Pelodiscus sinensis: one gene and its partner. The protein of the gene in region 1 purifies or fractionates together with the protein of each later gene. This does not show direct contact. Links are inferred from orthologs where the notes say so. Each region holds a gene or a part of one and is shown on either strand. Other genes may lie near its edges. The genes, in order: IGF1R and RACK1.

What was found.
Region 2: the proteins of IGF1R (region 1) and RACK1 purify together in Homo sapiens (affinity purification with western blotting; 4 studies listed by BioGRID, with this or other methods). This does not show direct contact. The link is inferred for Pelodiscus sinensis from reciprocal best matches to the Homo sapiens genes IGF1R and RACK1.

Annotation. Positions count from the first base shown.
Region 1 is NC_134724.1:8,750,550-8,754,452, reverse strand, and holds the start of IGF1R (insulin-like growth factor 1 receptor), read right to left. Parts: upstream 2,470-3,903; 5' UTR 1,205-2,469; coding exon 1,120-1,204; intron 1-1,119. UniProt on the Homo sapiens protein: Receptor tyrosine kinase which mediates actions of insulin-like growth factor 1 (IGF1). Binds IGF1 with high affinity and IGF2 and insulin (INS) with a lower affinity. The activated IGF1R is involved in cell growth and survival control.
Region 2 is NC_134742.1:1,211,372-1,215,274, forward strand, and holds the start of RACK1 (small ribosomal subunit protein RACK1), read left to right. Parts: upstream 1-1,673; 5' UTR 1,674-1,765; coding exon 1,766-1,874; intron 1,875-3,224; coding exon 3,225-3,396; intron 3,397-3,903. UniProt on the Homo sapiens protein: Scaffolding protein involved in the recruitment, assembly and/or regulation of a variety of signaling molecules. Interacts with a wide variety of proteins and plays a role in many cellular processes.

The DNA of each region.
Region 1 (3,903 bases):
GCAGATAATTGCAATCTAGTGCATTTCAGCTCTCACCATCCACACCCCTTCTATTTTCCCCTGCAACCGAAGGGGGCGGGCACGATAATATAATCACAGGTTTGAAATGCAAAAAACAAAAACAAAAACCCGAAGTCGGGGCTTTTTGCAACTCCCAAACAATACGGACAGACCCTGCGATTCCGAAAAGATAAACAGCAACAAGAAGCCACATCAGACATCTTTGTGCACTAGAGACTTAACCATTTGCAGAGCGCGCACGCACAAACACACAATGAACCACGTTTTCCACAAGGCAGAATTTAAACACAGAGAAGAAAACAACTCACGCTAGTTTTTTTTAAAAGCAACCGCAGAACTTCACTTCTAGGTATAAACAGAGCTTCTAATGTATTGATTTCTTTATCTTTAAATCCCTAGTCCTTCCAATGTGTCAGTCCGTGCGTCCATCTCCATATCCCCCCCCCCACACACACACACACACACGCCAAGTTGTATAGATCTATACAAAGTAATTAGGAGATTAAGTGATCTTCGTATGCTGACTATAATCCTTTTACATCTGAGCATCCCAAGAAGGGAAAGCCACGCTAGGTAAAAACAAAACACAGTATCTGCTTGTTTACTGAAATTCTTTCAGTGATAAGGTATTAACACCTGATTTTTTTTAAAAAAGGCATTCAGTTACTAAAGTCACTGTTCCCCTATAAACAGTCAAAGCATGCATTTCTGGGCCTTGCAATGTTGACCGAGCACCTTACAAGTCTTGGGAGTTTAAAATCTAACTATCTGGGGGAAATCTGGAGAGGCTTACAGAAATTAACACAGAAGACAAGATTATGGGGTAAGGGCAGGAAACAAGTGGACCTATTACTCTTCAGAAACAGGAGAGTGTCTAACCTCTGGTAAACGAATTTCCAAGCCAAGCACCGCAAGTGAGTTGAGAGGAAAGAGCAGCCTGAACTCAAGGTATTAAATGTGCTTAAGGGGCAGCTTCAGTAACAGGCAAACGCACGCAGCCTTTGAAACTCAAAAGTCACCGCAGTGCAAAACAAGCGCGCCCACCACCACCCCGTTTCCCTGCACCCCGCAGGTTTCAATGAAACGCCAAATACTCACTTTCTCCATTTGTTGGCCACAGACAAAGCGTGGCGAAGAAGAGCAGAAATAAGGTCAGGGACCCTCCTCCAGCGCCAGACTTCATTCCTTTTTTTTAAAATTATGGACAAGATCCCCTTTTCCCAAAAAAAAGTCCAAAATTTCTTCCCCTCCACTCACACACCAGCTCTATTAAGGGGGGGGAGCTTGGGAGAGAGGGGGAAAAAAATCACCCCGCTCCTCCCACGCGCAGACACAAAAACACCCTCCCCTGGGTTTGCAAATTCAAAGGTGTTTCTCCCCCTCGCGGAGGTGCTTCCGGAGCAGCTACGCACGGACAACAATAACCACGCCGGGCTGGGGCTCCCCCAGGACGAGCGATACTTGGGGGGCGCTGAGCAACACTCCCCCCTCAGCGCTGCCTGCAGGGATGCAAGGGGCACCGGAGTAACCAACACGAAGCACGTTGGGGCTGGCAGTCTGTATCTTCAGCCTCCATTTTCAAACCCCACAAAGACGCAGCAAACACACGCACAAAACCGGATGGGAAAAGCGGGGGGGGGGGCAAAGCAAGCTGATGGGGGAAGGGGCAATAAAGCTTCCCAAGACAGTTGATTCCCCTCAGCAGAGAGCAGAGGCTGCTCCCAAGGGAATCCCCCCTTGCAGCGCCCCCCAGCACAAAAGTAAGTCGGAGGGGGACCGAAAGACCCTAAAAAATGCGGGAGAAAAATGAATGAAAAGGCTTCCCCAGCTTCACAGCGCTGCTGCTGCCCCAGGCTCCTTCCAAAAAAACAACCTCCCCCCACACACACGCACACACACAGACACACAAATCCAGAACACACAAAGCGGTCGCGGGGAGAGCTGAGCAGCTCAACACTTCTCCTCCTCCACCTCTTGCTGCTGCTGCTCTCCTCGCATCCCTGCTAGCTGCTGCTTCTCCATGCCACAAACATCCAAACACAACTGACGCTCGTGTGTGCGCGCTGCAAACCTTCCCCCCTTCTTGTCCAGCCCAAGACAGGGGCGGGAGGGGGGAATGCTGCTAGGAAAAAGGGGGGGGAATCCGGTTTGCTGAAGGTCAAAGCCCAGGAGCTGGTTGCAAAGGGTCCGTAATTCCTCCAAGGGGGGGGGGGGGAGGTGGCGAAGGAGGCCCTGCTGCTGGGGGTTTAAGGCTGTCGCTGTTGGCGGCGGGGCTGGCCGGGTCTCCCCCCCTCGCCGCTCCTCCTCGCTCGCTCCCTTGCACGGTGCGGAGTTAATGCTGGTAAACAAGAGGCGCCCGCTGCTGCTGCTGCTGCTGCACTGGCACTGGGGGGCTCGCGCGCACGCACGCGCTCCCGGGGCTCCTCGCGCGCAGCAGCGGCGGGCAGGAGGAGGAGGAGTAGGCGCGAGGCAAAAAGAGGAGCGAGGAATCGTCGGCGCCGTCCGGAACGGAGCCCAGGCGGCGGAGACAAGAGCAGAGCGCGCGGCCCCTGCCGCCCTCGCCCATGGGCTGACCGCGCGCTGCTGCTGCTGCAGCTGCAGCCGGGCCCCAGTGCACGGGGCTGCGCGCGCCCAGCCCCTCTAGGTCTGCCCCGTGCAAAGTGCACGTAAGGCTGCAACAACTCCTCTGCGCGCACGCACCCATGCCTTGGTCTCGTGCATCCCGCTGTCGTGCAAGGAGGAATAGCATTGGGTCTGACTGGCATGGCACTAGCTCAGTGGGCCGGTGTTTTTGTTTTGCAGAGGTTGCCAGCTTCTGCTCTGGAATCTGATGATTTTTTTTTCGGGAGGGCGGGGCGGAGGCGAAGCTGGAGGGAAGTCCTCATGGCTGCAAGGAAAACCTTCGAGACGTGAACAGAGTGTAAACCAACGCATTGATGTCTTTGTGTCTGCCAGGCCTTCCAGCAGCCCTGCAGGCTCACTCCTGCGTCCAAAGCAATACCTAGTCGCCTTACACAAGCAAACATGCATACGGACGAGGTTGGCTCCGGTGATCAGCTTCAATAAGGGAGATTAGTTAAAAAAATGTTAAAATGAAGATTTCATTGAGCAAGTAGATTTAAAAAAAAATCTTTCATCAAGAGAAAGAAAATGTTTAAAAACTGGTCCTTAATTAAGGCATCCAAGCCATCCAGGGCAACCCTGTGGACTTTTACTCCTCTACACCCTTTTACTTTGCTCTTTTGCCATACCAGCTAAAATGCCTGATCTCTTAATAACACACAAACTGATGGTAAAATTGAAAATAATTCCATTATAAATCAAAGAATCATTGAACCGTAGAACTGAAAGAGACCTCATAAGGTTATCAAGTCCAGCCCCCTGCTCTAGGCAGGACCAATCCCAACTAAATCAACCCCACCAGGGCTTTGTCAAGCCGAGACTTAAACACCTCTTGGGATGGAGACACCACTACTTCCCTAGCTAACCCATTCCATTGTTTCACTACCCTCCTAGTGAAATAGTTTTTCCTAATATCCACCCTGGACCTCTCCCACCACAACTTGAGACCATTGCTCCTTGTTCTACCAAGTCATTACAGAGAACAGCCTCTCTCCCATCCTCTTTGGAACCTCCCTTCAGGAAGTTGAAGGCTGCTATCAAATCCCCCCTCACTCTTCGCTTCTGCAGACTAAACAGACCCAAGTCCCTCAGCCTCTCCTCATAAGTCATATGCTCCAGCCCCCTAATCATTTTGGTTGCCCTCCTCTGGACCCTCTCCAATGCATCCACATCCTTTTTGTAGTGGGGGCCCAGAACTGGACACAATACTCCAGATGTGGCCTCACCAGAGCCGAATAAAGGGGAATAATTACTTCTCTG
Region 2 (3,903 bases), on another chromosome or scaffold:
TTTTCAAAACGCAATGGTTTTTTTTCTGCCATTGCAACATGTTTAAACAACTTCAGCGTCACAGAGGGGGTGATAAAATGTTTCGGTGTGAAAAGTACAGAACGATACAACGCTGTAAAACTTAAAACAAAAATTCAGTTTTCTCCACATTTCAGTGGTGCAAACTTACCCCCCAGATGTCTCTCGGGTACCCCTGAGGGGACTCATACCCTGGTTGAGAAACGCTGGTCTAGACGGTGCTGGGTCCTGCCGTGAGGGCAGGGGACTGGACTTGATGGCTCTCGAGTTCCCTGCTGGGTCTAGGGTTCTGTGCTTTTATTCCTCCGTTCCTCTGCGCTGGTTAGGCCTCAGTTGGAGGATTGTGTCCAGTTCTGGGCACCACATTTCAAGAAAGATGTGGAGAAGTTGGAGAGGGTCAAGAGAAGAGCAACAAGAATGATGAAAGGTCGAGAGAACAGGAGCTAGGAGGGAAGGCTGAAAGAATTGGGTTTGTTTAGTTTGGAAAGGAGAAGACTGAAGGGGGACATGAGAGCCATTTTCAGGTATCTAAAAGGGTGTCACAAGGAGGAGGGAGAAAACTTGTTCATCTTGGCCTCTGAGGATAGAACAAGAAGCAATGGGCTTAAACTGCAGCAAGGGAGGTTTAGGTTGGACATTAGGAAAAAGTTCCTGCCTGTCAGGATGGTCAAACACTGGAATAAATTGCCCAGGGAGGTTGTGGAATCCCCATCTCTGGAGATATTGAAGAGCAGGTTAGATAAATGTCTATCAGGGATGGTCTAGACAGTATTTGGTCCTGCCGTGAGGGCAGGGGGCTGGACTCGATGACCTCTTGACATCCCTTCCAGTCCTGGTATCCTAGGATTCTATGATTTCCTCTCTCTCATATCAAAGAAGGAGAAAGAGCAACTAATGAAATGAAAGGGCGGACACTTTAAAAACAGGAACAAGGAAATGCATGTTCACAGATAAACTTCTGAAAGCAACTGTCGCAGCCATTACGGGAAGCCAACGGTTTATTGGAGTCAAAGGACAATTAGTAGGATGGATTATGAAAACACTTAGGTTATAGCTACACTCGCGGCTTCCTGCGCAAGTGCGGCTGTTCTTGCGGAAGAATCCGCAAAGCGTCCACACGGCCCGCCCGCTCTCACGCAAGGGAATTTACAGCACGGCGTGGGAAGAGAGGGCTTCTTGCGTGAGAGCTACACGCTCTTCTAACAGGGGTAAGCCCTCTTCCACAGGAGCTCTTGCGCCAGAGGGCAGTGTGGATGCTGAATTATTTTACATATTCCGCATGCTAATTAGCTCGCCTATTTTGCATGCTAATTAGCTCTCACATTTGCATATTCACCTGATGATTAATTTGCATATTCATCGTGATCATTAATTGACTAGAATGAATCAGTGGATTAAAATTAATTAATTAACATTAATTAATGTTAATTGGCCCCCTGCTATTTCACGTGGCCTTTGTAACCAGACCACAAGACCCAGCTCCCCCACCCCCACGTGGGAAAGGGCTGTACGGAAAAGGAACCAAGATGGCCGCCCCCATGGCTCCGCGGCAGACGTCGCTCCCATTAGAACGCCGCCATCTTGCGGGCCCTGCTCCCGCCCGGGGGCGGCCATCTTGCCGTACGGAAGCAGCCGCGGCTGCTTCCGCTTCCGGGGCAGGCCGGCGCTTCCTTTCCGCTCTCGCCGTCGCCGGGAGCAGGCCCAGGCCGGGGGGAGTCCGGCTCCGCATCCGCCGCCATCCGCCGCCATGACGGAGCAGATGACGCTGCGCGGGACGCTGAAGGGCCACAACGGCTGGGTGACGCAGATCGCCACCACCCCGCAGTTCCCGGACATGATCCTCTCGGCCTCGCGCGGTGAGCGGGACCATCGGCCCCGGCCCGCGGGGGGGGGGCTTGGGCGAGACCATCCCCCCGGCCCGCGCGCGCTCCCCTCGCGGGGCGGCCGTTGGGAGACACCATCTGCCCCCGCGTGCGCCACGGGCGGTTGGGCGAGACCATCTCCTTAGTCGAGCCCCCTCCCCTCCCGGGAGAGACCATCTCCCCCCCGGCGCGGGGGAGACGGGAAAGACCACCCGGGTGGGGGGAAACGTGGGGGAGCGGCAGGGAGAGACCAACTCGCCCACGTGGCGGGGGAGGGACCATCTCAGTGCAGAGGGGGGCAATGGGGGAGTCCATGTGCGGGGGGGGGAGGGGAAAGAACCATTCAGCGGGGGGGGGTCAGTCTTGTGGGTCAGACCACGTGGCTGGGGGGAGGGGCACAGAGTTGGGGTGCCTGGGGGAGGGGCCCCAGGGGATGGGGGGCAGGGCAAGGGGGCACCTTGAGGCGTGGGGGAGGGGCTAAGGGGTTGGGGGTGCACCGTGGGGGGAGGGGCTAAGGGGCGGGGGTGCACCTTGGGACGTGGGGGGAGGGGCTAAGGGGCGGGGGTGCACCTTGGGGTGTGGGGGGAGGGGCTAAGGGGTTGGGGATGCACCTTGGGGTGTGGGGGGAGGGGCTAAGGGGTTGGGGGTGCACCTTGGGGCGTGGGGGGTTAAATTCCCCCCTGGGGGTGGTTCGGAGGCTCCAGGCCGGGCCTCTGGGCGCTTGGGTTCAGTGCCCGGCTCTTCTTTCCCCTCCTCCCCTCGCCGGGGGCCTGCCCGCCCACCTGTCCGTCCCCCCCCCCCCCCCATTCCCTCTCCCCTCCATGCGCCTCTCAACCTCGGAGGCTCCTCCTGGCCCTGGGTGCCTCCGGGCCGCATTTCCCCCCAGCCTCAGTTTCCCCATCAGTGAGGCCCGTCCTACCTGGGAGGCAGTGACTGGTAGAGCTGCTGGGATAGGGCCGAGTTGGGGGGCGCCTCAGGTAGCTGACGCAGGGGGGCTGGGCTGGGGGTGGAGACCCAAACACCATGGGGGGGGTGGCCCCGTAGAAAGGGGCCCTGGGGCCTTCCCGAGTCCGCCTGCCCGGAGCTGTGCCAGGCCGCGCTGACCCGGTTGCTGGTGGGCTCTGCCCAGGTGGGCCCGGCTGCTCTGCGCCCCTCCTCCCAGCCCCGATGATTAAACTGGTTGTGCGTTGACCCTGCTGGGGGCTGAGGATCATGAATGCGAGAGCTGAGGGTGCCGGGACGGAGCGGGAGCAGAGCGCTATGGGAAGAGCCGCCGGTTGGGGAGACAAGGGGGCCCCAAAGCTCCCTGGGAGCGAACTAACGCCCCCCCCGCCCCGGGCGCAGACAAAACCATCATCATGTGGAAGCTGACGCGGGACGAGACCAACTACGGGATCCCGCAGCGGGCCCTGCGCGGCCACTCGCACTTCGTCAGCGACGTGGTCATCTCCTCCGACGGGCAATTCGCCCTGTCCGGCTCCTGGGACGGCACCCTGCGCCTCTGGGACCTCACCACGTGAGTGCCGAGTCCGATGGCCTGGCTGCCCCGCCCTTCACGGGGGGAGGCCGGCAACCGGATCCCCCTCCCAGAGCCCCTTGGCTTCTGGGTCCCCTTAGTGGGGCCAGAAACGGGGCAGGGGAACATTGGGAGGGGGGTCTCGTGACCGATTGAAATGTACAGTCTAAAACACGAGGGAGACTCCCGCACACCCGCTGCTCTGGGTCCCCGGAAACGTGCGCTCGGCCGTTAGGGGTAGCGGGACCGGCACCGCCCAGGGGTCGGCTCGGAGCCCCTGCCCCTGAAGAGGCCGTGCCGCCGAGACATGGCCGGTCTTGGGGACATCCAGGCGGGGGGGCATCGGGATTTTCGGAGGCGCCTCCCCCCAGTCCCAATGATTAGACCTGGTGTGTCTGTGCCGACCCCCCTCCGGGGGCGTGACGACATGTCCTGCAATTATGATGGGGCTGTGATGGGGGGACATACAAGATGGGAAGCGACTGTCTGGGAAGGAGCATGGCGGAA